Linked DNA regions of Rattus norvegicus. The protein of the gene in region 4 purifies or fractionates together with the protein of the main gene of each other region. This does not show direct contact. Links are inferred from orthologs where the notes say so. Each region holds a gene or a part of one and is shown on either strand. Other genes may lie near its edges. The genes, in order: Ddx39b, Upf3a, Upf2, Rbm8a, Ncbp3, Upf1 and Pym1.

Evidence for each region.
Region 1: the proteins of Rbm8a (region 4) and Ddx39b purify together in Homo sapiens (co-immunoprecipitation; 4 studies listed by BioGRID and IntAct, with this or other methods). This does not show direct contact. The link is inferred for Rattus norvegicus from reciprocal best matches to the Homo sapiens genes RBM8A and DDX39B.
Region 2: the proteins of Rbm8a (region 4) and Upf3a purify together in Homo sapiens (co-immunoprecipitation; 4 studies listed by BioGRID and IntAct, with this or other methods). This does not show direct contact. The link is inferred for Rattus norvegicus from reciprocal best matches to the Homo sapiens genes RBM8A and UPF3A.
Region 3: the proteins of Rbm8a (region 4) and Upf2 purify together in Homo sapiens (co-immunoprecipitation; 6 studies listed by BioGRID and IntAct, with this or other methods). This does not show direct contact. The link is inferred for Rattus norvegicus from reciprocal best matches to the Homo sapiens genes RBM8A and UPF2.
Region 5: the proteins of Rbm8a (region 4) and Ncbp3 purify together in Homo sapiens (co-immunoprecipitation; 3 studies listed by BioGRID and IntAct, with this or other methods). This does not show direct contact. The link is inferred for Rattus norvegicus from reciprocal best matches to the Homo sapiens genes RBM8A and NCBP3.
Region 6: the proteins of Rbm8a (region 4) and Upf1 purify together in Homo sapiens (co-immunoprecipitation; 7 studies listed by BioGRID and IntAct, with this or other methods). This does not show direct contact. The link is inferred for Rattus norvegicus from reciprocal best matches to the Homo sapiens genes RBM8A and UPF1.
Region 7: the proteins of Rbm8a (region 4) and Pym1 purify together in Homo sapiens (co-immunoprecipitation; 11 studies listed by BioGRID and IntAct, counting the BioPlex papers as one, with this or other methods). This does not show direct contact. The link is inferred for Rattus norvegicus from reciprocal best matches to the Homo sapiens genes RBM8A and PYM1.

The regions. Positions count from the first base shown.
Region 1 is NC_086038.1:3,583,108-3,586,752, forward strand, and holds part of Ddx39b (spliceosome RNA helicase Ddx39b), read right to left. Parts: intron 649-3,645; coding exon 465-648; intron 412-464; exon of another isoform or gene 337-411; intron 1-336. UniProt on the Homo sapiens protein: Involved in nuclear export of spliced and unspliced mRNA. Component of the TREX complex which is thought to couple mRNA transcription, processing and nuclear export, and specifically associates with spliced mRNA and not with unspliced pre-mRNA.
Region 2 is NC_086034.1:82,467,885-82,472,290, forward strand, and holds the start of Upf3a (regulator of nonsense transcripts 3A), read right to left. Parts: upstream 2,803-4,406; 5' UTR 2,775-2,802; coding exon 2,574-2,774; intron 2,201-2,573; coding exon 2,094-2,200; intron 764-2,093; coding exon 657-763; intron 1-656. UniProt on the Homo sapiens protein: Involved in nonsense-mediated decay (NMD) of mRNAs containing premature stop codons by associating with the nuclear exon junction complex (EJC) and serving as link between the EJC core and NMD machinery.
Region 3 is NC_086035.1:77,172,200-77,175,844, reverse strand, and holds part of Upf2 (regulator of nonsense transcripts 2), read left to right. Parts: intron 1-2,414; coding exon 2,415-2,618; intron 2,619-3,645. UniProt on the Homo sapiens protein: Involved in nonsense-mediated decay (NMD) of mRNAs containing premature stop codons by associating with the nuclear exon junction complex (EJC).
Region 4 is NC_086020.1:186,852,472-186,856,846, reverse strand, and holds Rbm8a (RNA-binding protein 8A), read right to left. Parts: upstream 2,812-4,375; 5' UTR 2,764-2,811; coding exon 2,697-2,763; intron 2,397-2,696; coding exon 2,337-2,396; intron 2,221-2,336; coding exon 2,143-2,220; intron 1,846-2,142; coding exon 1,709-1,845; intron 1,261-1,708; coding exon 1,124-1,260; intron 1,004-1,123; coding exon 958-1,003; 3' UTR 45-957; downstream 1-44.
Region 5 is NC_086028.1:58,181,173-58,184,817, forward strand, and holds part of Ncbp3 (nuclear cap-binding protein subunit 3), read left to right. Parts: intron 1-872; coding exon 873-981; intron 982-2,920; coding exon 2,921-3,020; intron 3,021-3,645. UniProt on the Homo sapiens protein: Associates with NCBP1/CBP80 to form an alternative cap-binding complex (CBC) which plays a key role in mRNA export. NCBP3 serves as adapter protein linking the capped RNAs (m7GpppG-capped RNA) to NCBP1/CBP80.
Region 6 is NC_086034.1:19,109,276-19,113,469, reverse strand, and holds the start of Upf1 (UPF1, RNA helicase and ATPase), read right to left. Parts: upstream 2,933-4,194; 5' UTR 2,653-2,932; coding exon 2,437-2,652; intron 1-2,436. UniProt on the Homo sapiens protein: RNA-dependent helicase required for nonsense-mediated decay (NMD) of aberrant mRNAs containing premature stop codons and modulates the expression level of normal mRNAs.
Region 7 is NC_086025.1:1,761,113-1,765,530, reverse strand, and holds the start of Pym1 (partner of Y14 and mago), read right to left. Parts: upstream 2,822-4,418; 5' UTR 2,754-2,821; coding exon 2,717-2,753; exon of another isoform or gene 2,265-2,716; coding exon of another isoform or gene 2,153-2,264; intron 202-2,152; coding exon of another isoform or gene 147-201; intron 1-146. UniProt on the Homo sapiens protein: Key regulator of the exon junction complex (EJC), a multiprotein complex that associates immediately upstream of the exon-exon junction on mRNAs and serves as a positional landmark for the intron exon structure of genes and directs post-transcriptional processes in the cytoplasm such as mRNA export, nonsense-mediated mRNA decay (NMD) or translation.

The DNA.
Region 1 (3,645 bases), on a different chromosome or scaffold from region 4:
CTCCCCAATGAAACTCTTAATGAAAGTTTTCTTTTAACCGCACATGGCACACTACACCACCAGAATGTGTGATCTCTTGTGAACATTTACCAGATACCTCCAGAATTTAACTCCAGAAACCTGCACATCTATGAATCCTGGTCGCACATGCTATACTGGGCTACAAGGGCAGGCACCTGCTGCTCTAGTTTAACCCCCAGCACATGGTCCATCCCTAAGAAGGGGCAGTGGTGATGACGTATCAGCACATTCTGTCCCCTGCTACAGAAAGGAGAGCACAAGGCTGGGCGCACAGCCTCACTGCACCGCACCACAGCACCAGGGGAAGCAGCCCGGAGCCATCAGTCATGGGTGATAGATGAGGGTCGTCCTTGCACACAGTGCTCCTATATCAAACACACATCATTTGGCTCCAAAGGGCAGCTCCCTAAACCACCTGAGCTGGGGCCGGGCACACCACTCACCGAGCTGTTCAAGCATCTTGTCACATTCGTCCAAGATAAAGTGTTTAATGTGTTTGAGGTTCAGGCTCTTATTTCGGGCCAGGGCTAGAATTCGGCCAGGAGTCCCCACAACAATGTGTGGGCAGTTCTTCTTCAGCACCTCTTCATCCTTCTTGATAGACAGTCCGCCAAAAAACACTGCCACCTGCCGGCCAACAGGAAAGTCTCACAAGAAAGGAAAATGTTCCAGTCTCCCAGAGCTCCCATTCTCTCCCCATCCCTCTGTCTGAGACAAGGCCTCACTGTATAGCCCTCCCTGGCCAGCCTAGAACCCACTTTGTACATCAGCCTGTCTGTTGCCCAAGGGCAGGTTAAAGGCAATGGGCCACCTTGCCAATACCAGTGCATCCATCCTGCAGTTGACTGTAAACCAGCCATCAGCTGTCAGGCCTCCAGTAAGAAACAGAGTGACTTGCTCACCATGGCAGGGCTAAGGGGGAAGGGCGGGGATGACATTCAGCTTCTCTGCCTCCACTCGAACTCTAAGGCAGGATCACTCTACACAGCCCTAGCTGGCCTACACAATGAGGCACAGGTGACTCCAAAGTCACAGCCTCCTTTACAAATGAAGAAAGCAAGAAGCCCCCAAGGAAGTGTGAGGCGCCAGCAGACAAACAAAACCCACAGGCAAGCTTCCCTGACTGAGGACAGAATGGCTGGCCTGCAGCCTTCGCTTCCTCCTGAGATAAAGGCCACACCACTAGTGCAAACCACTAGGTGAGTGCTGACCTGTGAGCTCTGACACTAGGTGAAACGCCTGGACTTGTTCAATTTCAGGGGGACGGAAATCACCAGGAAGCTTCCTCTGTGGTGACCTCTTCCTTTTCTCAATAGAGTCATGAATGGTTAACACGTGTACACAGGAGCATTCCTTTCCGAAGTGTGTTAGCAGGTATCAACTAAGCTTTCAGACACAAGTTTTGGTCTGTTGCAGATGCTGAGGGGAAAGCAAGCTAAACCTAAGGGAGGCACTAGACTGCCCCCTAGAGGACACTTTGTTGCAGAACCAAGGAAAAGTACAGATAATTCTGATTTTATGACTATGTAGTTAACTGGTGGGGTGAGGTGGGGTGCTTGGCCTAACTAGCTACTCTGCTGACTTGAATACCAAACCTGGCCTCATACTTGATCCCAACCCTCAGAGCATTCTCAGTAACACAGGGTGTTGTGGGACCAGAGAGAAGGACTGCAGCTTCCTGGTAAATGGTTTGCAATTCTCCCCCTCGGTTTTGAGACATTAGCCTAGGGCAGCCTTCAACTCCAGCAAACTCCCACCTCAACCTCCCAAGCCCTGGGTTACAGGAATGAGCCATGGACAGCTTTAGTTTCCAACTATTAGATTCACCCAGAAGGACCGCTCAGCCAAAGAACTGCAAGTCTATTCATTTCTTGGCAGCGTATGATAACTACCTACAACCAGAGGCACAGACACACAAACAGAAGCACAGACACAGACAATGCCTCCAGATCACAAACTATTTTCAAAATCCTAGGAGGAAAAAAAATATAAATACGCTACAATGTTTCTCAAAGAGGCCAGGAAGCTTGCACAGAGACAGGTTAGGAAAACAATGTCAATGCTTGGTTATGCAGAGCAATGGGGACCTCAGAGATCACAAGATTTCTGGATTCCTTTAGCATTTTGCACACTGTCTTTCCTTTTTCTCTTCTTCCACAATTCCCTTTTTTAAATGTCATGCTGGGTTGGACATGGTTGTGGAGATGGTGACACCCGGAGGAGGCAGAGAAAGGCAGGGCTGACTTGGAGGCCAGCCCAGGATACCTCTACCGAGCAAGTTTCAGGACAGCAGGGTTACACAGGAAAATCCTGTGGTGGGATACGCACATATAAGTTGTATATGTAACAATATCTTATTGTGTATACATGGTTTTTGAGTGTGGGGGAAGTGAACGTGAGAGTTAGAGGACACTGTGGATCTGGTGCAAACCTTACATGGTTCTGAGGGAAGGATGCAAGTCATCTTCAGGCTTCTGCAGCAAATGCTTTTACCTGAGCCATTTCTCTGACCCCCACTTTGATTTTAAAGAAACTATTCTCAGTTTCTGGTTCTGCATCAAAATTACAAGTTCCTTTAAAGCATACAATGAAGGCTGAAGAGATGGCTCAGTGGTTAAGAGCACTGACTGCTCTTCCAGAGGTCCTGAGTTCAAATCCCAGCAACCACATGGTGGCTCACAACCATCTGTAATGGGATCTGATGCCCTCTTCTGGTGAGTCTGAAGGCAGCTACAGTGTACTTATATATAATAAGTAAATAACCCCCCTGCACTCAAGCAGCAGACAGATGATGGCAAGCACTCATCCCTGGTGACATGCTGCCTCAACCAAGCAAAACTACATTCTCTATTAAAAATAAAAAAAAAGTGACCCAAGGGCCCCCACCTAACCAGAATAGGAAGTCCACATACATCTCTCCACTCAGGGCCAGGTTACAACTACTTTCAAACACAGCAGGCCACATATGTCCAAGCATAGAAATAAATAATCTCCAAGTTCCAAAAGGATGCCAAGTACAAGGCCATACCACATCCCTTCATAGAAGACACATGCCACTTGTTATGACCAAGAAAGCACCAAACGTTCCGGAGTTAAAGTCCACACCAGAGTGGTTCTAAGAGCATCTAGCTTCCTCTTGCCACATACACTCCCAAACTCTCAAGCAATCTACCCAGCAATACAGGAGAAGAGAACAGAGGCTCTGGCCAAGCCAGGTGGCAAAGGCCTGTCCCAACTACTTAGGAACTGGTATGGCAGGAGCCTCAGGCAGGTTCAAGGCCTGTGGCCTGGGCTAAGCGAGTGCCAGGCCTCCCAGGATAACCTGGTTACAAGACAATCCTGGACATAAGAACAAAGGGGCCTGGAGGTAGCTCAATTCCAGACTGAGTAGCTCAAGGCTCTGGAATGGAATTTTTAATACCAAAACCCAACTAATTACTGAGTGCTGCGATGGCGTCACCTAAAGTTATGAACTCTCAGGAAACACGCAGACTTATTTATTCACAGTGTGGAACCTACAAAGGCAGTTACAGAAAGGCCTGGCATTGACTCAAGTCTCATGTGCCCAGCCTGCAGGAACGCACCACTGACAGCACAGGTCCCCTACAGAGCTCCTCAATGCCT
Region 2 (4,406 bases), on a different chromosome or scaffold from region 4:
AAGATGATTTCAGATGCATATATTTTACTAATATTTAAAATGAAGAGATCAGCTGAATAAAGGAGTCAGCAGTGAACTAAAATGCCCAATAGCCTGAGCCCTAAACCTGCTTGACACTCACAGACTCACAGAAACTACAACCTGACCTTCTGCTCGCCACAACGGAGAAGGGACCGCGAAGTTGTGGAGGAGAGATGGAGGAGTTCAGTATTGGGAGGGGGATGGGTGGGGAAAGAATGTCTGGGGAGGGCAGAAAAGAGCTTCCTACAGAATGTTTACAAACCTTAAGGCAGAAAATATAACACAGGGCAGTTGGACAGGACAGGGAAGGAAGAATATAAAAACAGATGCAGAAAGTTCAGGAGCAGAGTCCCTGAGGGGGAGACCGCACCGCATGCTCCAGGGCTGCTATTCATGACCATATGCCCCTCTGCAACACTTTCAAGAAACCGCAATCATGGCCAGTACTCTGGATTCCTGCGTAAATGTAACTTGGAAAAGGAACGCGCGAACACCCACTCTCCAGCAATGGTGCATTCCTGTTCTCCTCACACAGAATGTCTGGGATTCTTTGGTTTATAAGCCTCGACAGCACGCGATACAGTAACAGTAAACGTTTATGACCTTATTTGAGAAGTTAACTGAAACTCACTAACCTTTATTGCCAATGAAGATGTATCCATCAAAACGGTCTCTGAACAGCAGGATGTCATCAGGGTTCCTAAAATTAATGTACGCTCTGGAGTAGAGGTGAGGGTAGAGGCTGAAACCCGAGACAGCGATGGTTAGTAAAGCTGTACGACGCTTAATTTGGCCTTATCTTTTATGAATAAGCAAACACTTTTTTATGCCAAAGAATCACTGCTCAGTTAATTTTAACAATCTGGGTATTCCTTAGCAAAAAAAGGAAGAGGAAGAGGAGGAAGAAGAGGAGAATGAGGAGGGGGAGGAGGAAGAGGAGGAAGAAAAAGAGGAAGAGGAGGAGGAAGAGGAGGAGGAAGAGAAGGAAGAAGAGGAGGAGGAGGAAGAGGAAGAGGAAGAGGAGGAAGAGGAGGAAGAAGAGGAAGAGGAGGAGAAAAACCACCCATTAACTGAAGCCTTAATTATCCAGGAGCGCCTCTACTGTACACAGCCAAGGTTAAAATACTAGACTCCATTAGTCACCCAAACACCATGGGTACTTTTAGGGTTGTTTCTGGTACATCTGAACAAGAACAAGACTAGTCTTAGCTCCTTCATGGATGACATGTTGTACTGTTAGTTCCTTTTGGATGAGTAGACCAGTGCTTTGGTACCAAGAAACACTAAACCATTATCCCCATCTCAGCCACAGCTCTTTTCTCAGGTAGGGATCCTTCCATTCCGATTCACAGAGAATATTAAAGTTTAGAGCAATCTGTTTGTACAGAGGGTGCAAGTTTCAAGCTGGGACCGGGACTCCACTGAGTAACTCCCTGTTCTTTTAACTGTTTTTCTAAACTTCAGCCATCTGAAAACTACCTGTGGTTTTTAAATGATACCCATTTAACAATTATTTATATTTTAACTTGGATAGACCTTTTTTTTTTTTAAAAACAAAAACTGGTATCCCAAAGGAAAGCATGTATGACACAAATGAAAAAGAAAACCATAAAAGGACATAAAAATAAATATTTGAATTCCAGCGGCTCTAACTTCTGCTGGTTAGGTCAGCCGGGTGTAGCTCCCATCACCACAGGCAGGGAACCTGTCTGACTGGGTGTGTGGTGCTGACATGGACCCAGTGCATGCAATGACAGATTCCACTTCTCCAGGCCCTAAGCTCAGTTACTGGACCCTCACTAGCGGAAACACTCCAGCCTCAACGTGTCTAAGGGATGCAGTCTGGTTTTCCTCACCATACAGTGTATTAAAAGCTACGCGGAGGAAGGCATGGAAACGCAAAGGAAAAAGAGCGCGGGACCGCGGGAGCACGGAGGTTCCCTTTCGACTGATGCGGTGGCTCGGCCATTCCTAACGTGGGCGTGCACTGACAGCTGGGAGGGGGTTGCAATTGTGAGCGCCGCGGGGGTCCTCGGTCCTTCTCCCGTGGGTGTCCCGCCGCAGCCCCTTACCTGAGGTCCGCAGCCACCACCTCGAAGTAATCGTGCGCGGGTAGAGGACGCAGTTGCTCTTCCAGCTGCTCTTTGGTGAGGCCCGGGGGCAGACGCCGGAGGACAACCTGCGACGACCATCACTCAGGTGCTGCCACCCTCCCCGCCCACCCAACTCGGGGCTCCCTAGAGCACGGGGAACCGCGGCTCCCCTGCTCCGGGATCCCGGGGAATGAGACTCCCCATCACGGAGCTTCCCAGAGCCCGGGGGACCGCGGCTCCCCAAGTCGGGGACCCGGATCCCGGGGAATGCGACTCCCATTGGGGAGCTTCCCAGATCCTGGGGACCGCCGCTCCTTAATCCTAACCCATCCCACAGGCGTCACCTCGGAGACGAGGCCCCGCCCCTGGGAGGAGCAAGCCGCACCGCCCTCCTCAAGCCCTGCCCGCCCTTGGGGCTTAAAGCCGTCCTCTCGCGAGACTTGCGGGCCCCGCCCCCACCTTGCTCAGGGCCGTCCTCTTCTCCTCGCGAGGCTTGCCGACCCCGCTCTCACTTAAGGCCGGGGCCGGGGGCGCCGCCGACTCATTCCGCGTAGACTCGCGGCGGAAATGGGTCTCTGCTCCGGACAGTTTCTCCCTCCAGCTCGGGCCCCGCGCAGAAAGGACTGCGCCCAGGCCTCCGGCCCCCTCTTCCGAGCGCATCCCCACCGGCCGCCCGCCGCCACCTCCGCGAGCACGAAGCCTCGCGAGGACTAGGCAGCCCCTCCCTGGCATTCGGTGTCCGGTGTCCCCTCCCCAGCCCTGACGGGGAAGGGGCGGTGCCAGTGTTGCCCAGCGCCCGTGAACTTCCTAGGATAGGGACCACAGTGAGGGAAATCAGTGCTGCCGCTCCGAGAGCAGGTGCACGCTCCGCACATCCGGGGCGCTGCTGACCTGCGACCTGGATGGAGGCCGCGACAGTGTGGGACCGGGAGGCCCCAGGAGCCGAGAGCAGTCGCTGGGGCAGCCCCCAAAATTAAACGCATCTCTCTCCTCCCTCCACCTCTCCCCCACTCCGGCCCCCTCCCCCTCCCTCCTAGGTGTTTGGTTCCGATGAGACAGGGCTTCTCCGTGTAGCCAAGGCTGTCCTGGAGCTCACTCTGTAGACCTGGCTCTCCTGGAACTCAGAGATCCTCTGCCTCCTGAGCGTTAGGATTAGAGACATTGGCCACCACCGTCTGGCAAAAATATTTGTCTTTTGCAGACAAACAATACAGTTTTTCTTATTCGCGTTGGCTATGGTTTTTATTTATAGTAACCTTTTCTCCTTAGGTTAAGCGTAAAGGAGAACGAGAGAATTTCAGAAATTGAGATTTACTTTAAGTGCAACCAGGCTTCACAATGACGTCCCGTGTTGATTGTGGCACTCCTGAAATGTGACGTTTTAAATAAGCCGACTCAAAACCATCTACAGGGCTTCAAACATCAAAGTTCTATAGAAGCGTGTGCAGGAATAGTTTCCAGTACCTCACGTTGCAAGGGAAGCCAGGCGTCTGAGCCCACCATTTGAACCAGGTCAGTTTGGAATAACCAGTTAACGCTGACCAAGAGCTATGATGGCCTGCTAAGCTTATTAGGAAGAAAACACATGTCTGAGAGGCTGATGTAGGGAACGTGTTGTCAGGAAAAAAACAACCCATAACAGTTAAGACTGTACAAGGCCGATGGATAATAACTTGCCAAGTGAAGAAAGTTGGAACATTACAAGCTCAGAGCCAAGTTACCTTGGGCTGGCTTTAGCCCCCTTAATAAAGCCATTGACTGCCCACCTGTGTGTCTGGCCTAAGGAAAGACCAGTTGGGGCTTTCTTTTCATCAGATTTGCCTGTGGGACAGTTTCTCCACTAATGGATGTGAGAGAGTCAGCAGGTGGTCCTTGGTTGTAATATGTAAGCCAATAAGCAGCGTTTTCCCGTGGCCCTGCTAGTTCTTGCCTCCTACTTGAATTTTTTCTCTGATTTCCCCAATGATGGATGTGACCTGAGAGCTATAAGAGGAACTAAATCTCTTCCTCCCACAAGTTGCTTTTGGTCAGTATTTTATCACAGTAACGGAAAACTAGGCTAGAAATTGGTAGTAAGTAGTGGGCTATTGCCAACAGGCTGACCATGTTTTCTTGTGTGTGTGTTTGAAGACCATGGAACTCTTTGGAGTTTTGAGGCTGGAGCGCCGGAAATGCCATTGAGTGCTCAGAGCGTAAAGAGCTGTGGGGATGCGAAAGATACCATTGAAAGAATAGAGGCCTTATGAATTGTCATAGGGACACAGACATCAGGGATGTTCTTGTGGTCTTTGG
Region 3 (3,645 bases), on a different chromosome or scaffold from region 4:
TTAATTTGTTTGATCCCAACTGTGATACTTTTACTATTTCCCATTTTACACACAAGGAAACTGAGGTTGTCTTCTCTCTTAAGTGACTTAGAACATGTGTGTGTGTGTGTGTGTGTGTGTGTGTGTGTGTGTGTGTGTGTGTGTTTGTACATGTATATAAAGGCCAAAAGGCTAATGTCATTTAGGTGTTTTCTCTTGCTAAACTTAGAACTAGCAAATTCACCTTTCCTTGCTTGCCAGCAAACTTCAGGGAGCTTCCCATCCTCCCCTGTCCAGCATTGGAATTGTAGTCATTGTGTAGTCATGCCTGGCTTTTTTTTTTTTTTTTTTTTTTTTTTGGTTCTTTTTTTTTTTTTTTTTTTTTCCGGAGCTGGGGACCGAACCCAGGGCCTTGCGCTTCCTAGGCAAGCGCTCTACCACCGAGCTAAATCCCCAACCCCATGCCTGGCTTTTTTTATGTGGACTTAGCGGTTATCAAACACCTCCCCAACTCAATTTTTAATTTTTTTTAAGTTACAAATAGTGGGTTCATTATGGCTTTTCCATACATAATGTGTTATTACACTTGCCCTGCCCCTACCCGCTCTGATACCCTTCTCTTGTCACCCCCTCTGCTCTCTGCTTGTCTCCTCCCTCTGCTGTAATAGCACGTTTTCCTTTACCCTCTGTATTCCACCTTTCCCTGTCATCTGTATCTTCTTGTCCCCAAGTTTTCTCTGTACTTTGTATCTTACAAATGCACACACGCACACACGCACACGCACACGCACACACACACACACACACACACACACACACACAAGTTTAGATCTAGAGCCCTCATGAGAGAGAACATGTGATGAGCATGACTTATCTTGCTTAACATAATGATCTGTTGCTCTATTTTTCTGCAAGTCTCATAATTTCATTTTTCCTTACAGCTGAGTAATGCTCCATTGTGTACCATGTTTTCTTTATCTGTCCTCTGTCTTTATTGATTCCCATAACTTAGCTATTTTGATAAATGTATCAGTAAACATGGATGTTCAGGTTTCTGGTACAGTGAATTAGCATACCCCAATGGTGTGGTTTGTCATGGTACGGCAGTTCTATTATTAGCTTTCTTGAAGAATGTCTACACTGACTTTCATAGTAGCTATTCTAGTTAAAATTCTTCCCAGTTGTAATGCTGGGTTCTTGTCTTCTCTCCTCTTCCTCTTCCTCTTCCTCCTCCTCTCTTCCTATTCTTTCTCTTCTTCCTCCCAACCCTCCACCACTGTTTTGGAGACAGGCTCTCTCTACGTGTCTCTGACTGCCCCGGAACTCACTATGTAGGCCAATCCGGCTTGAACCTACAGCTCTCCTGCTTCTGCCTCCTGAGTGTTGTGACTGAAGGGCTGTGCCACCACCACTGACTCTTCCCAATGGTTATCAGAATTGGCTGGCATTTGCTTTCTTGTTGATAGCCATTATGATTGTGGTGACCTAGACTCTTGCCTTTTTTCAATGGCTTAGGATTTTGGACACTTTTTTACATATTGCAATTTGTATTTATTCCTGTTAATTCACTTATTGATTAGAAGATATTGCCAGTATTTATCTAAACAACAATAATAATTAATTCCCATTCTCTATATCTCTTCACTCTGGTGATTTTTTTTCCTGTGCAGAAGTCTTTTAATTTCTTGTCGACCCCTTTGTTAATTTGGGGGATTATTTCTTAAGATCTTTGGGGAGGCCTTCCCTGTGCCTAACATGTTTCTTCTGGTGTCTTTTGGCACTTTGAGAGGTTCAGGTCTTTCATTAAGGTCTGGTCCATTTGAATTGATTTTTTCTGAAGGGAGAGGGATAGATCTAGTTTCACTCTTTCCCTATGGATAGCCAGTTCCAGTACGACTTGCTGATGAGGCTGTCTTGTTTGGTTTTGTTCTCCACTGGTTGGTTTTGTCAAACATTAGGTGGCTCTGATTGTGCAGCTTGTTTCTCAACCATCTATTCTTTCATTGGTCTGAACATGGCTTTATTTGTTAGAAATAGATTTTAAATGAGATTATTTATGTCAAATCATATATACTAGTTTTGGCAAACCATGGCTTTTTTTCTTTCTGCAAGCTTAGTCTTTGACTAAGTTACTGTTAGTTTATTTTTCTGACTCTACTCTGTACATTTTTTTATACATGCACGTGTTGTGTAATTACCTACTGAACCATCTCATCAGCTCTCATTTGACTCTTTTAAGACCCAAATGCTATGGGACATTTTTGAGAAATACTGTAGAAATTATTGAAAGGTCTAGAAAGTAATGATAATAAATTTTCATAATTAATAAATCTCATTTTACCTCTTTGTAACATAAGAAAACTGATAAAAGCCTACTAAAGTATTTCAGATTTTAAAATTATCTTAATAATTTAAACAACATTTTCTTCATGTAGGTTTTGAGACAGATGCGAAAGTTGCCCTGGCAGGACCAAGAAGTTAAAGACTATGTCATTTGTTGTATGATAAACATTTGGAATGTGAAATACAATAGTATTCACTGTGTAGCCAACCTCCTAGCAGGACTAGTGCTTTACCAGGAGGATGTTGGGATCCACGTTGTGGACGGAGTACTTGAAGATATTCGATTGGGAATGGAGGTAACACATTCCTCCATATTTATACCCAGTTACAGCTTGTGGAGAACGTAAAAGTCTTTAAACCCTACTATTGAAAATATCAATTTGAGCTGGGGGCTGGTGGTATACATCTTTAATCCCAGCAGTAGGAGGAAGAGACAGGCAGATCTCTGTAAATTTGAGGCCAGCCTGGTCTACAGAGAGAGTTCCAGAACAGCCAAGGTTATAGAGAAACTCTGTCTTTAAAAAGCAATAACAACAACAAAACCTGTTTTTTATATTAAATCATTTGCTGCTTCTTAGGAGCTACTTATGTGTGAATTTGTATATTAAATTTTCTGCCGTGGGCTGGTGACATGGCTCAGCGGTTAAGAGCCCCGACTGCTCTTCCAGAGGTCCTGAGTTCAATTCCCAGCAACCACATGGTGGCTCACAACCATCTGTAATGGAATCTGATGCCCTCTTCTGGTGTGTCTGAAGACAGCTTCAGTGTACTCACAGACATAAAATAAATAAAAAATAAAAATAAATTTTCTGCTGCAAACTCAAACAATCACTAGTATCTATTTTAATTCTTTTTCTGAAGCTGCTTTAAGTTTATTTTGTAAGATTACACTATATTTTTATTATTTCTAGGTTATTGAGACAATTCACAGGAAATGATAAGCTTACTAATTATAAATATTTGATAATTATAGGTATTTTGCATACTTTCCTCTTAATATAAATGTTATATAACTAGCTACCTTTATTTCTTGATTCATAGATTGCAAAGGAAATAGCTTGGGTGGGCTGATAGGAAGACATTGTAACTATTTAGAAAAAGCTCACTTATGATAGCTTAATATTTACCTCAATATCTAACATGTACCTTGTACCTTTTATTAAGGCATTTTAAAGATAACCATTTCTTAGAAAATGACAGGCTATTTAGAAATAGCCACAGTATTAGAAAAGGAGTAAAGAAGCTACCATTAGCTCTGACAGATGTTCTTTGAATAGTTGGTACTCTTAAGTTAGGAATAACCCTTCCAGTTTTATTGCTACC
Region 4 (4,375 bases):
ACCAACACCCCCCCCCAGCAATTTACTAAAAGGAAGGGCCAATACCAACTGAGAAAAAGTTATGTTTAATATTTGCCATTATGCATTGGGAAGACAGAGATAGGAGCATCAGTTTGAGGCCAGTGTGGGCCACATAGGGACCCACACAGACAACAAATCAGTTACAACAGACACACCTAAAAAAACATCCCAGCTAAAAACTATATATAATAAAGGAATAGCAATGTCTTTGTAGCCCTGGCTGTCTTAGAACTCTTGTGTAGACCAGGTTGCCCCTAACTCAAGAGATCCACCTGCCTCCCAAGTGCTGGAATTAAAGGTGTGCATATTGGTCTAGTAGTACTTAAGCTGGGTTTTTATGTTGTAGGAACTAACAAACTTCACAGTTTAGCACCATATTCAAAGTAGAGCTGGCTGAGCATCTCAGAGCTCCATGTTTTAATTCCGGAGACCACATAAACTGGGTATGATGGCCCATGGGTGCAATGTTAGCACTTGGGAGGTAAGAGGCAAGAATCAAAGTTCTTTACAATACAGTGAGTTCAAAGCCAGCCTGGGCTACACAAGACACTGACATAGCATCTGCTCACAAGAGTGTAAAATTCACTGAACACCACAAGAAAAACCCATTACACCTGCTCACTCTCATGCTCTAAAGAAATGCTGAGCAGTCTCTGTGAGCCTTTCTAGAAACTCAGAAGGCCACGCCACACAGAAGTAGCTTCACAACCACTCAGAAGGCCTCACTGAGGTTGTTTAGAATTTCCAGAACAGTCAAACACAGTTTTAAATGTAGAAAACAAAATGACATTTATTTTTTTCTTAAACTCAAAATTACCAAGTAGGGTAAGAAATTAAATATAAACACAAAGTCCATCCTAGCCCTGTTTATCCAAGGCAGCATAACCAAATAGACTCATGGAGACCACCTGGTCAACAGAGGATTTATTAAGTATCTCATCGGCGTCTTCGGTCTGGACTCCTGCTTCGTCTTCGGCCACCTCTAAGGAAAATGAAAAAACAAAAGGGGAATCAGAAAGATAATACAGTATCCTTCCTTATTTATCCTGCTCATGTTCCCTTCACTAAGATAAATTTGGGGTCTCCACCCCATCATCTTTACCTCCTCTTGCCCTTTGGTGGACCACGAACAAAACACCAGTCAACACTGATTGGCTGTCCCATCAAATCTTGACCATTTAGTCCCTCCATGGCAGCCTGAGCTTCTTTGTATGTTTCATACTCAACTAGAGTATACCCCTAGGGGAACACATAAAAGTATCAAAGCTTACCCAGGAATGACATCACATACTTTTAATCCCAGCATTGGAGAGGCAGTCCAGCCTAGTTTACAAAATGAGCCCAGGACAGTCAGAGCTCTGCTACACAGAGAAACCCTGTCCCCAAACAAGCGACAACAAAAAGTATCAAAATTCTACTTCACCAACTATCAAGTACCCTCTTCCTTAACCCAGAAATGCATACCAACCAGGAAAATTTTGCAGCTCCACACTGAAAAGTACATCACACATCCCCATTATATATACACAACATGCTCATTCTGTTAAACTCTTTCTTGTGAGTAACAAAATCAATTTCCAATGTTATTTCACTCCCTACCTGTGCTTGATCAACCCAGCAAACAAAACATAATCTATGTAAACAATGTATCTAAGAGTTGTAAGTGAAGGAAGCAAGAAAAATCTACCTTCAAGTATCCCGTGCGCCTGTCCAAATTCAGGTGGATATTTTTTATTTCCCCATATTCAGCGAACTTGTCATGGATATCTTCTTCAGTGGCTTCTTCGTGGACTCCAGTGACAAAGAGAATCCAACCTTCAACAGCTGTAGAGGAAGATGTTGTATGAACATGTAAAGATAAAAAGTCCAATACTCAGGAGACAGAGGCAGGCAGATCTGAGTTTTGAGGCTAGCCTAGTCTACAAAAAGTTTCAGGACAGACAGCCAGGTCTGGTACACAGAGAAACCCTGTATCCAAAAAAGAAAAAAAAAAAAAACTAAAAGAAAAATCCCAAAAAGAACAACAATAAGCAATTCCTGAGATTGGTTTAAACAACTCTTTACTTTCCATTTAAGAGCCAATAAATACAAACAGACTCCCCACAGGTCCTATTTACTTACAGCGCTGTGGTCCAGGTTCATCGCCATCCTGCTCCACACTGTCATAATCTTCCCGCATCCGCGCTCGGGACCCCTCTTCTAAAAGAATGCATACCAGATCACCGAAAACTGTCCTCCAAATGTGTTCCCATCGCACCCCCAAATTTGCGGACTTCTCCCTATTAGATCACTCTACCCTATTTCCCCACACTCACCAGAACCAAAACCGCGGCCCTTCCGTTTCTTCGCTTTTTCTTTTAGTTTGTGGATGCTTTCTAAAGTTCCAAGTGAGAAAATAAACAAAAATGAGTCATCTTTAAAACAAACAAACAAACAAACAAACAAACAAACAAACAAAACTGTCTCGTTTCCTACACTATCTGGAAGCTGACGGCACGGACTCCAGCTTCAGTCCCTTCCCGGTTCCACCCCTAATTCCTTCCCAAGGGGGAGGAGTCTTATCTTTTCGAGACCCAGTTTGTTGGGTTCCATCCCAGGAAAATTTCTCCTATTGCACTCTCCTCTCGCACCTTCCCCTCTTTCCCTCTTCCCGCAGCTGCCTCCACTCTACTCACCGTCACCATCCTCATCCATGGCGAAATCCTCGCCCCCGGCCTCGTGAAGATCCAGCACGTCCGCCATCTTGCTTCTCTCGGCGCTCTCTGTGCGTCTAGTAGCTAGGAACCTCGGGAAACTGACGTAGAGGGAAAACGTCACTAGTCAGGCCGACCAATCAAGGTTGCTGTCAAGTCCCGCCCTCGGCGCGGTGAATATTCGCAAATGTAAGCGGCCCCTCTTTGGAGTGGAGATGGCAACCTGGCGTGATTAAACGCCTTTAATCCCTGTACTCCCGAGCTCTGGTGGAGCGCTTCGAGTTTGAGGCTGTAAATTACATAGTTTGTGATTGTGTTTTGGGTTTTTTGCTTTTTGGGTTTTTTTTGTTTTTTTTTTTTTTTTTGAGACACGGTCTCTCTATATAGCCCTAGCTGGGCTCGGAGTTTCAGATACCCAACTATATTCCCCTTCCACATACTGCTGGAATTAAAAGCGTGTGCTACCACGACGTGCTCCAAGACTACAGAGTAAGACCCTGTCTCAAAAAATAAAAAGTAAAATAAAATGGTTTCGGAAGTTCTCCTACAGCCAAGTTGAGCAGGTTGGAGGTCGGGAGCTCAACCGCATTGGGACAAATTTAAAGGGTGAGTGAAGCCAGTGACTTTCTCTTAAAACCTTCAACTAAGAAGAAGTCCTTTGATCCAAAGCTACGTGTATGGATTTATTTAAATGACTTATAGACTGTGGCCCAACTAATTGAAGAATAGCAAGCTGTGTTCAGAAAGTTCAAGAATCTAGTAGTTGCTTAGTCCCACAAGGCTGATGTCACAGCTGGTCTAGAATCCTGAGATCTCCAATGCCGGGAAGAAATGGGCTTAAGAGCAAGGTAAAGAGCAAAAGCTTCCTCCATCTATGTTCTTATATAGACGTCCAGCAAACGGTAGGGGTCAAATTAAAGTTATGTTTCCCTGCCTTAAGATTTGGATTAAAGTAAGGCAAGTGTCTTCCTGCCTCAAGAACTGGATCAGAGGTGTGCCTTCCTACCTAAAGCTTGGACTAGAAGTGGATCAACCCACTTCACCAAACAGAAAATCTCTCAGGTGTGCTCCATTTCTGGATTTGTAGTTCATTCCAGAGATAGTCAAGCTGACAACCTAGAGTAACCATCACAGGTGGGTTTGTTTGTCAGACCTGACTGGCCTGAAACTCAATATGGATTTTACCCACAAAGTTCTGCCTGCCTCAGCGTAAGCCACCTGGATCTTCCTTATTTGTGTTTGTGTGTCCGTAGTGAAACTGAGTACAGTTGCCTGACGAGGCCAGAAGAGGATATCAGATCCGCAGGAGCTGGAGTTTCAGGCTATTGTGAACTGCCCAGTACAGGTGCTGGGAACCTAACTCAGGTCCTGGGAACCTAACTCAGGTCCTCCCCAAGAGCAGCAAGATTTCTTTACCTCTGAGCCATCTTGCCTCCAGCACTGTACTTAGGGAAGTAGCCCCCACCCCATAGCTTCTATTTTTTTGCTTGGCATTTTTTTTTCTCTAATGGATTTTAAAACAAATTTACTCACACTAATATAAACAGGCAAGGTTTTCTAATTTGCATAAATAATGTAAAAAGTGTTTTGCCCATCATGCACAAAGCCCCACGATGGTTCCCATGGCCACATAAACCAAGTATGGTGATGCATGCCGGAAA
Region 5 (3,645 bases), on a different chromosome or scaffold from region 4:
TGTGTGGATGTAACAGTTCATCTTGGAATCTTAGAATAGTGGTTATACTTGTGTAGAAGAGAAAATGGGTTTATTAAGAAACACTTTGAAGTGTTACCTAATCAATAAAATAAGAGAAAGCAAGTAGGGTTTGTTAGAAATGTTGGAGAGTATTCATTTGAAACATTTGTGTGTGTGTGTGTGTGTGTGTGTGTGTGTGTGTGTGTGTGTGTGTGTGTGTGGTGCTGGGACAAACCTAGGGCCTCGCACATGTTAGGCGAGTGCTGTGCCTCTGCTCTGTGTCTTCAGCTGAGTATATTCATTTCATGTTTAAATATTAAAAAGTGGTAAGTGTTTACTATATACCAAATTCTGGGAACAAGCTATTGTTTTTTTAAAAAAACAAGCCCTTGCCTCGCTGTAATTATATTCTAGAGGGGAAGTCAGATACAGTTGCATGGTGTTAGGAGACACAGCAGCACTATGAAGACTGTAAAGGATGAAGGGAAAGAGATTAAGGGCTACAGGGATGGTATGTGCTGTGCTTTCAGAGGACCTAAGTTCCATTCCCAACACCCATGTGGGATGGCTTATGGCTGCTCGCTATACCCACTACAGGGTGTCTCGCTTTGTTCTGTCCTCTGTAGACAACTGCACTCATGTGCACACAGCTCCACACAGACACATATAATGCACGTAGTTTTAAGAAGTGTTTATAATAAAAGAGATAGAAAATGATGGGGATTACTTTTTAAGGGAGATAGTCTCCAGAGGAGCAGGTGCTATAACACTGATGGGTATAAATGACAGAATGCTTCCTAGTGGTGACTGTTCAGAAAAAGTATGAAATACTTGAATTTTTATATTGAAAGTATTTTTCCTTTTCTCTTAAGTTGGACACATTGTCTCAGGTAGAAGAAGAGTCTCTGTTAAGAAATGACCTTCGTCCAGCTAACAAACTCGCTAAAGGAAACAGACTGTTCATGAGATTTGCTACGAAAGGTAAATTTGATATTTGGTATTAATTTTTGGTTAGAATGATGAAATTATTAAGTAAAACTTTCCCGTTGACTGGAAGCTAGCTCAAATAATGCCGAAGCTCCTTTTAAACAAATCCTTTAGGAAAAAGCAGCTCCCTGACTGAGAAGCCATCTCTTTCACATTTGTATTTGCTAGTATTTATTCACTGTTACCTCCCATGCATGCTTATGATGTATTGGATCCCATTTTATCCTCTTCGTGTTCATATATTCCCACCCTTTCCCTTTTGACCTCTCCCCTTTTACCCAGTGCTGAAATCCACATAGAAAAACAGACAGGGTGCTTTGTGAGCCTTTGATTTTGTTTTTCAAAGCAGGGTTTCTCTGTGTAGCCCTGGCTATCCTAGAACTGGCTCTGTAGACCAGGCTGACCTGGAACTCAAGGCTCTACCTGTCTCTGTCTCTCAAGTGCTGGGATTAAATGTGAGCCACATTTAATCTGGCTTGACACTGTTTTTATGAAGTAAGGTTTTTTTTTGTTGTTTTTTGTTTTGTTTTGTTTTTTTTTCTTTTTTTTGGAGCTGGGGACCGAACCCAGGGCCTTGCGCTCGCTAGGCAAGCACTCTACCGCTGAGCTAAATCCCCAACCCCATGAAGTAAGTTTTATTACAGTCGGGTTTTTGTTTGAGCCGTAGGTACTGAGCACTGGAACAGAGGGCATTGGCAGTGCTCAGGGTGCCCTCTAACATTCTTTTTTTTTTTTTTTTTGGTTCTTTTTTTCGGAGCTGGGGACCGAACCCAGGGCCTTGCGCTTCCTAGGCAAGCGCTCTACCACTGAGCTAAATCCCCAACCCGCCCTCTAACATTCTAACCCACCCCTGAAGTGCTGCTGTGGGTGAGGATTTAGTTAGGGTATACTGGTCTGACCCAGGCCGTCATCCAGACGCGTGTCTGTGGCAAGAGAGCTGGCTTTGAAATGAATGAGACTCCTTCAGCATACACTGAGTCTACCACTGTGTCCATCCTGGTCATCCTGGTAGGTAACAAAGCGATGGCCAGTGGTAAAGGTGTTCCTTCAGCTCCACTGTCACTACACTTGAATCCACCTGGAATCACCGGATCAGGGATTCTCCCACCAAGGCCTAGGCCAGCATCTAGCATGTTGGTAGAAGTCTGATTTTGCAGAAACTCCTCCTGAACCAGAGCTATGTGTGCAGTATACCTTTGCCTTTGGTGTCTTGGGCTGGTTTCAGGTGAGATATAAGTTGAGCAACCTAGGCCCCTCAGTGTAGTAGAGAATGAATACCAAACGCCCCTTATGCACTGGGAGAGCCCACTGTCTACCATGTCTGCCTGCTTCATGAAGTTCTCATGTGTCTTGTCATAGAGGATGCTGACTTTCATTAATACCAGCAAGTAAGCCAGCATTTTGTGCCAAATAACAGATAAATGAGTCTTAAAGTGCTGAGCTTGGCCCTGCCACAACTTCCTAGGGAACAGGAGCATATGGTAGGAGTCCATTGTTGACAGTGTTGCCATCCGTGTGTCTACCATAGTGCCATATGAGGATAGGTAGCTTTGGTGTTCTATCTCTGCATAATTTCTGTGCCCCTATATTCCAGCAGAAGAAATGTGCTTGCTGGTATCTTATCTTGGTAGAACTTTCACTGTATGTCCTAATTTGGAACAGTGCCATGAGGGTACTGAAGGTCTTTCAGGGGTTGATAGAATGGGCTGTTGCAAATAGTGTTTTGGTAATCATGGATGTGCAGATTTGTTTTGGGCATATATCCAAAAGTAGTATAGATGGATTATTTGGACTTTTTATTGTTATATTGCATACTTAAGGTCAATCTGAACTGCATGAAACCCTGCCTCAAAATACAAACATCAACAATCAACCAGTCAATATTATTTTCACTCTCATAGGAAACCCTAAGTAACTGTTCTATTAACTTTAGATGACAAAAAGGAACTTGGAGCAGCCAGAAGAAGTCAATATTACATGAAATATGGAAATCCAAATTATGGAGGCATGAAAGGAATTCTGAGCAATTCATGGTGAGTCCAAAACCTTAAAATATGATGGCTGTTTGTCTATCTTAATGTTTTTATTAGCACATAATAGACTTCATTATGACATCAATGTACATGGAGATAATGCATTTTGATAGTTTGATCTTGGCCTCTCCTGTCCCCACCCACTCCTCTTCAACTAGTTCCCTTCTACCTTGACAGCTCTCTTGTGTGTGTGAGTGACCCCTTGAGTTTTGTTAGGGTTTTTTACAGGAGCACGGGTATCTTACCAGTAGTCACTGAAGACAACTTCTCCCTCCCTACTCAACTACAAATTGCATATAAATCATGGGACCCTGTGAGTCCGTCCCTATTCCATAACAGAGTTGATGAACTCAGTCTTGGGTAGGTTTCTGCCAGAATCACAGCTTGAGATGAGTGCTGCAATCATGCCATACCCAGGAAGTTCTTCTTCAGCTATTAGTTCTTTCCTGGCCCTTCCTCCACAGTGTTTCTTAAGACTGAAGGGGTGATACAGATGTCCATTTATGGTTAGGCACTCAGGAGTTTTTTATTCTTGGCGTTTTGTCAATTTCAGGTTTGTTTCGTTTTTTTTTTTTGTTTTTTGTTTTTTTTTTTTTTTTTTTTGGTTTTGGTGTTTTTGAAACAG
Region 6 (4,194 bases), on a different chromosome or scaffold from region 4:
AGGTACCTTCCGGCTCAGTGCAGTGCAGCCACTCAGTCCCAAAAAGAATACACCAACACATACCAGCACAGGGGCACTCAGGTTATGACAGTAACAACAGGGCCCTGTGGTTTGTCTGCACTCCAAAGTAATGAACCACAAACATGAGAGACACAGGACAAGTATACTATGCCATCTATCCAGCAAAGGAAGGGCCTGAGACATTCACATCCACAGAGGCCACAGGATTCTTGGTGGCTGAAGAGAGAGGCTGGGGGTACAGGGACTCAGGATGCTGAGACATTACTTGGTATTAATGATGGTGGCCCAAAAGGCCACTGTCCTGTCAGCTTTCCAGGGATATATGCAGGTTCCATGATTCTGCTTCAATAAAGCCAGAAGAGAACTGCCAGCAGCCCACAGGGGCAGCTCAACCTACTGAGTAGGGGGTCTATCCTCCTAGGATCCCCTGTGTGACCCATTCACCTCCAAGGATAAATAACGAAAAGCAATGTTTTTGGTGGCTGAGGACACTGGGTGTGCAAAGGATTTTTTCCACTTTCCAATTTTGCTCACTTTCTGCCCACAGATACAGGTCTTCCTAATACAGGATTGAAGGCCCTCCCTCCCTCCTTCCCATTCTCCCTTCCTCCCTTCCTCCATCTCTTCCCTCCTCCCTCCCTCCCTCCCTCCCTCCCTTATGATGAGAGGCCACAGGTGGGCGGCAGCTCATGGCTCAATCTATGGTTTCAACTGGCGGAGCAGGGCACACCCATGTGAGCACACGCATAGCACAAGTCTGCTTTGTACATTAGCTAGAGCTAAAAGACCTTGAGATGAAGCACCCCACTTCCACTCCTGGTCTCCCCAGCTGTGCCATCACAGCCTGCTGCACAGTGCCCCTCTCCAGGCCCATAAGGCTGGAAGGAAGGAAGGAAGGAAGGAAGGAAGGAAGGAAGGAAGGAAGGAAGGAAGGTAGGTAAGTAGGTCTACCTAGTGGGGAAACTAACAGGAGGACTGGCCTTCTGGGCCACTTCACTCCTCCAGGCAACCTGCCCTCTCTCCACCTCCTTACGCTAAAGGTAAATAGCTAGAAACAACACGCAGGCACACCTGATCCTGCACCGCAGTAGGGGCTGACTCAGCCTTCTTCTCCTATTAGGGCTGAAAATGAGCCCAAGTGGGTGGTCTACCCACAAATATGACTCAACCAGCCAGCTCGAAGGCCCTCCCGGAACTCGGTCTGAGATCACTGCTGGAGACTGGTGGTGGCTCCCTAGCCCTAAGCACACACATGGACTGTAAGAACACCTGTGGCTCTAGTCGGCAGCTCCCCGGAGAATACAGGAAAACAAAGCCTAGAGGTGCCCAACACCAAGCCAGCCATTTGACAGGGAGGTAGGGATGGCCTGTCCCTAGCCTACACCGACAGTCTGTCATTCAAAACAAAAGCCCCTCCCCAGGGCACAGTCACCCGTGTGATACCCATTGTGGTTGCCTCTAAGGAACAAAACTCAAACCCAACTTTTCCAAGCAGAGCCTAGGAGTTACATAACACTGGTCTCAGCAACAGGCAACCCAGAAGGAAAAAACGAACCAGCAGCTGTCTCTCAGCCACCTTAACCAGCCACAAAGTGGGCTGTTTCCACCCGAGGCGCCAAAACCCTAGATTTGCTCCAGAGAGCCCCTCCACCAAACTTGAACCCTGGCTGGAGGCGTGGTGGATGGAAGTGGCAAGAGGGTGAGATGGGATGGTTGGACTAGCCAAATAGGTGACCCTGGAGGACAGTGTGGGTCCAGAGGATAGCACTAGGGCCAGAGAAACCTAGTGTAGGTCACCTTAGACCCACCTAGAAGGGGAGTGAGGGCAGTTCTGGCATAAGCCTTGAGCTGGAGCAGATTCTGTGCTATACAGGAGGAGGGACACTAATGCAGGTCACTGCCCAGTCTAGCTGGGTGGAGGAAAACAGGACAGGTAGCAGAGACTAGGTGCAGGTGGCTAGGACAAGAGGCAGGGAATTAGAGGAGATGGTATGTAGTAGGGACCTGAGGCAGATGGCAATGACTGTGGCAGGTAGACCTGGGAGAGGTATTGGAAAAGGTAGCTGAAGGTGGAAGCAGAGATCTGGGAAAGGGGTAAGTAAACGGGAACCAGGGTAGGGTAGCAGAGATCTAGGACAGGTAACAAGGACCCAAGGCAGGTGGCAGGTACCTGGGCAGTTAAACAGGAATCTAGGGTGGGTAACTAGAGATGGTCAATAGGGATTTTGTTTAAGGAGCCAGAGTAGGAAGCATACACCCAGGCTTATTAACTGGACCTGGGGCCGGTAGCTCGGACCAGCACAAACTCGGACCTGGCGCAGGTTCACAGGGGCCCAGGGCTGGTTAACTGAGACCTGGCGCCGCAGCTCCCGCTCCCGCCCGGTTTCCGGCGCCGCCATGCGCCGCTCAACTCACTTGCGCGTCGAGCTGGCCGGCCGCGCCGCCTGCACCCGCTCCGCCTGGGCCTCCCGCGCCGCCGGGGCCGCCGGGGGGCGTCTGCGTCTGGCTGGGTAGGGTGAAGTCGGTGAACTCGAACTCGGAGCCCTGGGTGTCGGCACCGAGCAGCTCGGCCTCCTCAGTGTCCAAGAAGGTGAGTGTCTGAGAGCTGGGGCCGTACGCCTCCACGCTCATCTTGCCGCCCGGGCCGCGCCTTCCGCCGGCGCCTCACCGCACTCGAGCCCGAGGCTTCGCCTAGGCCTAGGCCGTAACCCGGAGCAGCCGCTGCCGCCGCCCTGAGGACCGGGCGGGCTCCGAGCCGGCCTCTGGAAGCAGAGCCCGGACTCCGGCTCCGAGCTCTGAGTTGCCGCCGCCGCTGCCGCGCCCCTCCGCAACGCTGCTCGCCTCAAAGCCGACCGCCGCTCTCAGCCCCCTGGACAGGAACCGCCGCCGCCGCCACCGCTGCGGTGCGCGTGCGCGAGCCCGACGCCGGCGCAGGCGCGCGCGTCCCTCCCGGAAAGTAGCCAACCGCACCGGGGCACTAGGAGCAGAGCGGGAGGGCGGAATTCGTCGTGCGCCTGCGCGAAGAGGCGGGCCTTCAACTGCCTAAAGGACCTGGGCTCGCGAACTTGGCTCCGCCCCAACCGCTGCCTAGTGATGCGCATGCGGGGTTGCGACATCCTCACCGCCAGGCTTCTGGGCTGCATGTTCATTAGGTGCTAACTGAGGCTCTTTCCAGAAGGTCTTGGGTGTAGAAACTGTGGCACAGGGACCGCGCATCTGCCTTCCTTGAGCTCTAGTTACCCCGTCTGCCACTTGACTCGTGGCCATCTTTACTATTCATCGATTGAATGAGTAGAGAGCAGGGATTCTGCCAAATGGTAGTCACTGCTACCCCTGGCACTCCTGAAGCCTGTGAAGATAACTGCTTCTTTCTTTTATCTTGAGATCAAGTCCCACTGGTCCGGGCTAGCCTGGGAATCGCTGAGAAGGGGTCAGATCCTCTAGAACTAGTTACAGATGATTGTTAGCCCCTCTTGTAAGTGCTGGGAGCCAATTCTTTGCCTCTGAGCCATCTCTCTAGCCTGTTTTGAAAGAGGGCCTCATATAGTAACCCAGGCTGGTTTGGAACTCTGGGGAATCTTCCTGCCTCAAAGCCCCTGGTGGTGCGATGACTGTACATTCGATATTGTCCACAGAACCCAGAGCTTTTGTATGCTAGGCAAAGGCCACCAACTGATGAGCATCCACAGCCAGAATCGAGACTCAGAGGAACACACTCCTTCCTCCCTGTGCTACCTTCCCACTCTCAGTGGAGGATGTGTAAGTGTCGCAGCTCTGAAGGGAAAGGCCTTCCCCCACAGAAGTGGATCCGCTCTGCTTGGGCAGGGGAGGTTTCCCCAGAGAAAGTGTTTCACTGTGTTCCAAAAGGTATCCTGGCAATTGGGAGCCAAGGAATACAACAAAGTCACAGCACACAACAAACCTCATAGGAGATTTATTGGGAGGGGAAAACCCAGGAGGGTGGCTGCCTCTGCTGAGGTGGCTCTCCCAGTCAGTACAGGGCTGGATGTGGTGGCACGTGCCTTAAAATTCAAGCACTCAGGAGTCGGAGGCAGGGGGATTGCTAACTCTGAAGCCAGTCTTGTCTACAGAGCGATGTCCAGGACACCCAGCATTACATAATCTCAAAACACAAAAAAGATGCTGTGTGTAGAGGCCCAGGCCCAGGACTCT
Region 7 (4,418 bases), on a different chromosome or scaffold from region 4:
TGCACCCACACATGCACGTGCACACAGGCAAGTACACACATTCACACACATGGAACCAGGAAACCTAAAGAGGGCAAAAAGCTGCCTCTGTGGACTTGAGACAGTCAAATGGCGACTGGTGAGGAGGCTAAAGCGAAGGGGAATACCTGAAAGGAAATGTGTCACAGATGAGGTCCAGGTTGTAGTAATCCTGAGGTGTAGCTGAAAATACAAAGGTACGTCAATGATCTCGTGCTCAGGAAGTAGGGAGTTCAGAGTATTCCCAAGCTGCTACAGACAGAATAACAACAAAAATAAAAACAAAAGGGCTAGAGAGTTGGCTCAGGGATTAAGAGTGGCTACTGCAGAGGACTGAGGACTTGGGGGTTTGATTCCCAGTACTGACTTACACTGGCTTCTAACTACAACTCCAGATCTAATACCTCTTCTGACTTCTGTGGTCACCAACCACACAAATGATGCACAGACATACACACAGGCAAAATAATCACACACATAGAATAAGTCTTTAAAAAACAAATACCAAAAACCCCATCATCTGTGGGCAGTAGACAGGAACACTGCTATTTTGCTACAATAGCATTTGAAAAGCAGAGAAGCAAAAGAACAGCTCACTTTCCTTTTCTACGGAGCCACAGAGATCACAAAGAACAGAAAACATCTCTGTGGCAGGGCAGGGGCCAGATGGAACACATACATAAAAAGAATAAGAAGCTTTTGCTGCAAGCTGCCTGTCATGGTAATACACGCCTTTAATCCCACAACAAGGGAGGCAGAGGCAGGTGGATCTCTACACAGTGAGCTCCAGGCCAGCCAGGGCCACATAGAGAGACCACACCTGGGGACTGGAGGAGGGTTAAAGAAAAAGTTGCTTTTTAAAGGTTGGGCACAGTGGTGCATGCCTTTGATCCCAGCGTCTGAGAGGCAGAGACGTGTGGTCTGCATTGGGAGTTCCAGACCAAGTAAGGGCACATAGTGAGAGCCTGTCTTTAAAAAACAAGACAAAACCAGTTGCTAGCTATAAGACCTACTGAGTAGAGAACATAAGGCAACACTGCTACAACGCTTTGGAATGCAAGAACAGGGAAAGGTGGCAGAAAATCAAGTTGTCATTAAATATTATAAAACAGGAAGTCTACTTAATAAGGAACATATAAAGCAAACCAAGAAGCATACAAGGCACACTTTAAAACACATGGTGTATTACCGCACAATCACAGAATCACTTCTACAAAACCTTAGAGTCAGTGACCACACATGAAGACCAAAATGAGGGCTACAAAAACAATTACCAGATGCTTGCACTGAGTTTTTCAAATGTCTCTCTTATAACTATTTGATCACTCTTAGTTAACATTGCACATTATTCCAAAGACAAGGCAATTACAAACAAGACAAAAACATAAAACTGATTCTCAGTTTCCACACACAAACAGCAGACTTAAACATTTCAGACAGCTGGAATGAAATTCTACTCAAACTTAAAGAAATAATGGGGTTCTCTCAATTGTCAAAGATGTTGAGAGGAAGGCCAGTAGATACTTTCCTGTTTGTTTTCTCTCACTTTAAATGGAAAACTCCATTAGTGAGAAAAGTCAAGCTGAAAGTTAAATTCCTCTTCCCTTCACACCTCTTGGATTTCAGTGACACTTCCTCCCCCACCCCCAAACAAATGAAGACCGGGCAAAGAGTGAGGAAAGCACTATGTAGCAATGAGATCATCAGCAGATACAGCTCGGAGAAAAAAGAATGGAGACAGGGAAAGGTAGAGAGCAGGTATAACAGTAAGAGATGGGGGAGGGGGGAAGAAGGCTGGAATTGGAGGGAACTGATAGTGCAGGAGCTCGTAATGCTGGAGAACCCTGAAAAGGTACGGGACTCCAACAACTAGAAATAGCTGAGGCTCCTAAGGGTCCCGGAGCAGGGGACATTGAAGGACCCCAGGGTTTGGGAGACCGGAAGCAGAGACCCCCCCCCAGACACGAGACCAGAAGGGGGCGCAGGTAATAACCCAAAGGAATGAATGGAGAAAGCGATACGGGGACGTGGCAAAGGAGGAGCCCCGGGATGGGCGTGGCACAAACCCTTTTCCAAGTTTGAACCCCTAACCCAAGAATCCCGAGAGAAGCGGCTCCCGGATTCCCGAACTCACCGCCGGTCTCGTCAGTTACATAGGGAGTCGCCATCTTGAGAACCCTAACCACTTCCGGCGTGAGCGGGCTGGGGTCCCGCCCCCTCCCCGCCGGAAGTGGAGTTCTCCTCATAGCAAGCCACCATTTTAATCTTAAAGAGAGACTGCCCCATTTCTTTGACTCGGGAGGCGGAAAGGGGAGTGTAGACGCTCATAGTCGTGAGCTCTTTTACTACCACCGATACCACTGTTGACCTCCTGATGTATATAAAACAATCCTCTGGATTCGAAGAGAAGTTCCTACATAAGCCTTACTCCAGACAGTCCTCTCAGGCTCAAGGCCCAGTAGAAAAGCTGGTAAAAGAGGAAAGGAAGATGCAAGGCCCGTAGCCTGCACCAAATTCCAGGGCGCTCATTGGCACGAGCAGAAGAGTCTCAGGAGTGCAGGGGATGCACGAAAACCCCGACTAACACTTAAGGTGGGCAGGTCTACTTCGCCTGTCGATCACTCTCTGCCGCCCAGCTTAACTGAACAGAGACCTAGGAAAAGAGCGCGCAAAGATCGGCGCACTGCGGGTCGATCACCTGTGCCCGTGGCCTCAGGGGTGCTGGAGGTTTTCATGACTGAGTTGGCGAGCAGCCCTGGGGATTCAGCGGCGAGGTAACTTCTTGGCCTGCTGCTCAGTAGTGGATCCTCCGGGTCAGAGGGCACAGAGTGAAGGCTTTAGGGCGGACCCAGTCAGTATTCTAATTAGCCGCGCCCAACACCTCGGATTAGCTTCGGCTACCACCAGCAGTTTCACCCTTAAATCTATTGGGACTGTGAAGCCACTCCCTTTGTTAGGTTGTGCCCTGTAGGGAACCTTGTTCTTCAAAGGAACGCCTTAGTCTCGTCCCTATCCCTCCCTTCCCCCTTCAGCAAATTAGTTCCTTTGGGGCTAGGTCCTGTTAAACTTGTTTCCTCTTCTGTCAGGAAGGTGCTGGCTCAAGCGCCTCTCCTTAGGTGTTAGACTCTGCCCTCCTCCTACAAAGCTTTTCCTTAACTCTTTCACCCTCTTCTATTGCTCAACGTCCAACAGTGATGGGGAAAATTGAGAAGGGGAAAAGGTTAGTGACTACCTCAGCAATAGACAATATGTTTCACTTTAAAACAAACAAAAGGAGGAAAAAACTGATTAAAAAACAAAACAAGGGGTTGGGGATTTAGCTCAGTGGTAGAGCACTTGCCTAGCAAGCACAAGGCCCTGGGTTCGGTCCCCAGCACCGGAAAAGAAACAAAACAAAACAAAAAAAACAGGCTGATAACCTCAACAAAGTTTTCAAGAACTCACTAACGCTATTTGCATATACTACATGTTATTACAAGTGTTTACTTCTAATCCCTCACTGTTTGTGTGTGTGTGTGTGTGTGTGTGTGTGTGTGTGTGTGTGTTCACCCATGCCCTTGCTTCCTCTTGTTTGTGTGTACGGTGGGAGGAGGTATGCTGGAACCTAGAGTGTAGCCGAGTGTAGCTAGCATAGCTAGCATAAGTCAGACAATCATTCTGGCCAGTGAACTTCACCCTAAGCCCACCAGCCCCTATCTGTTCATTCATCGATTGTACTTCAGTTCTGTCTCTCTAGTAACCTTTCCTCAGAGAGGAAAAAGAGATGAGAACATGGAATGGTGCCTCTGAAAATTAGTGAGGGAGGTGCATGATTTGAACTATTTCAAGAGCAGTCTCTACAACTCTCCACGGACCTGCTCAGTGAGGGGAAATCCTAATGTGACCTGTTTACTCTTTAATCTCTGGACACTCCCCCACCACTGTACCCCTCAGACATCCTGCCCCCATCTCTGCAGGTTGGCAGGAAGTGAAACTCAATTGTCTGTTCAGTAGACTGGCCCTGGACCCAGCCCTGGGCCCCGGATGTGTACCCCCACCCAGAGGAAGAAGAGGCTGGGAAAACAGGCTTGTTTTTTCCTTTCCCTTTGTTCATTGCGGTTTCTTTCTCTCTGACTTGTATGATGTGGTTGATTAAAGAGATGAGCACCTGGAACTAGAGTCATCAAACGCCTCCTCCGTGGACGTTTCTCTCCTTTCTTCCCCCACCCCCACCACCAACTGACTTGGAGTATGGCAAAGCACAGATCCTAAATAAGGCGCAAAGATGCTACAGTAAGACTGAGTTCCTCTTAACCCTTATTGGAGAAATCATATTCCAATGGTGGCTTTTTTTTCAATGTAGGAGAGTCTTTAATTTTATGCAAGGATTGATTAGAAGAGTAGTTTTGGACACAGTGCTA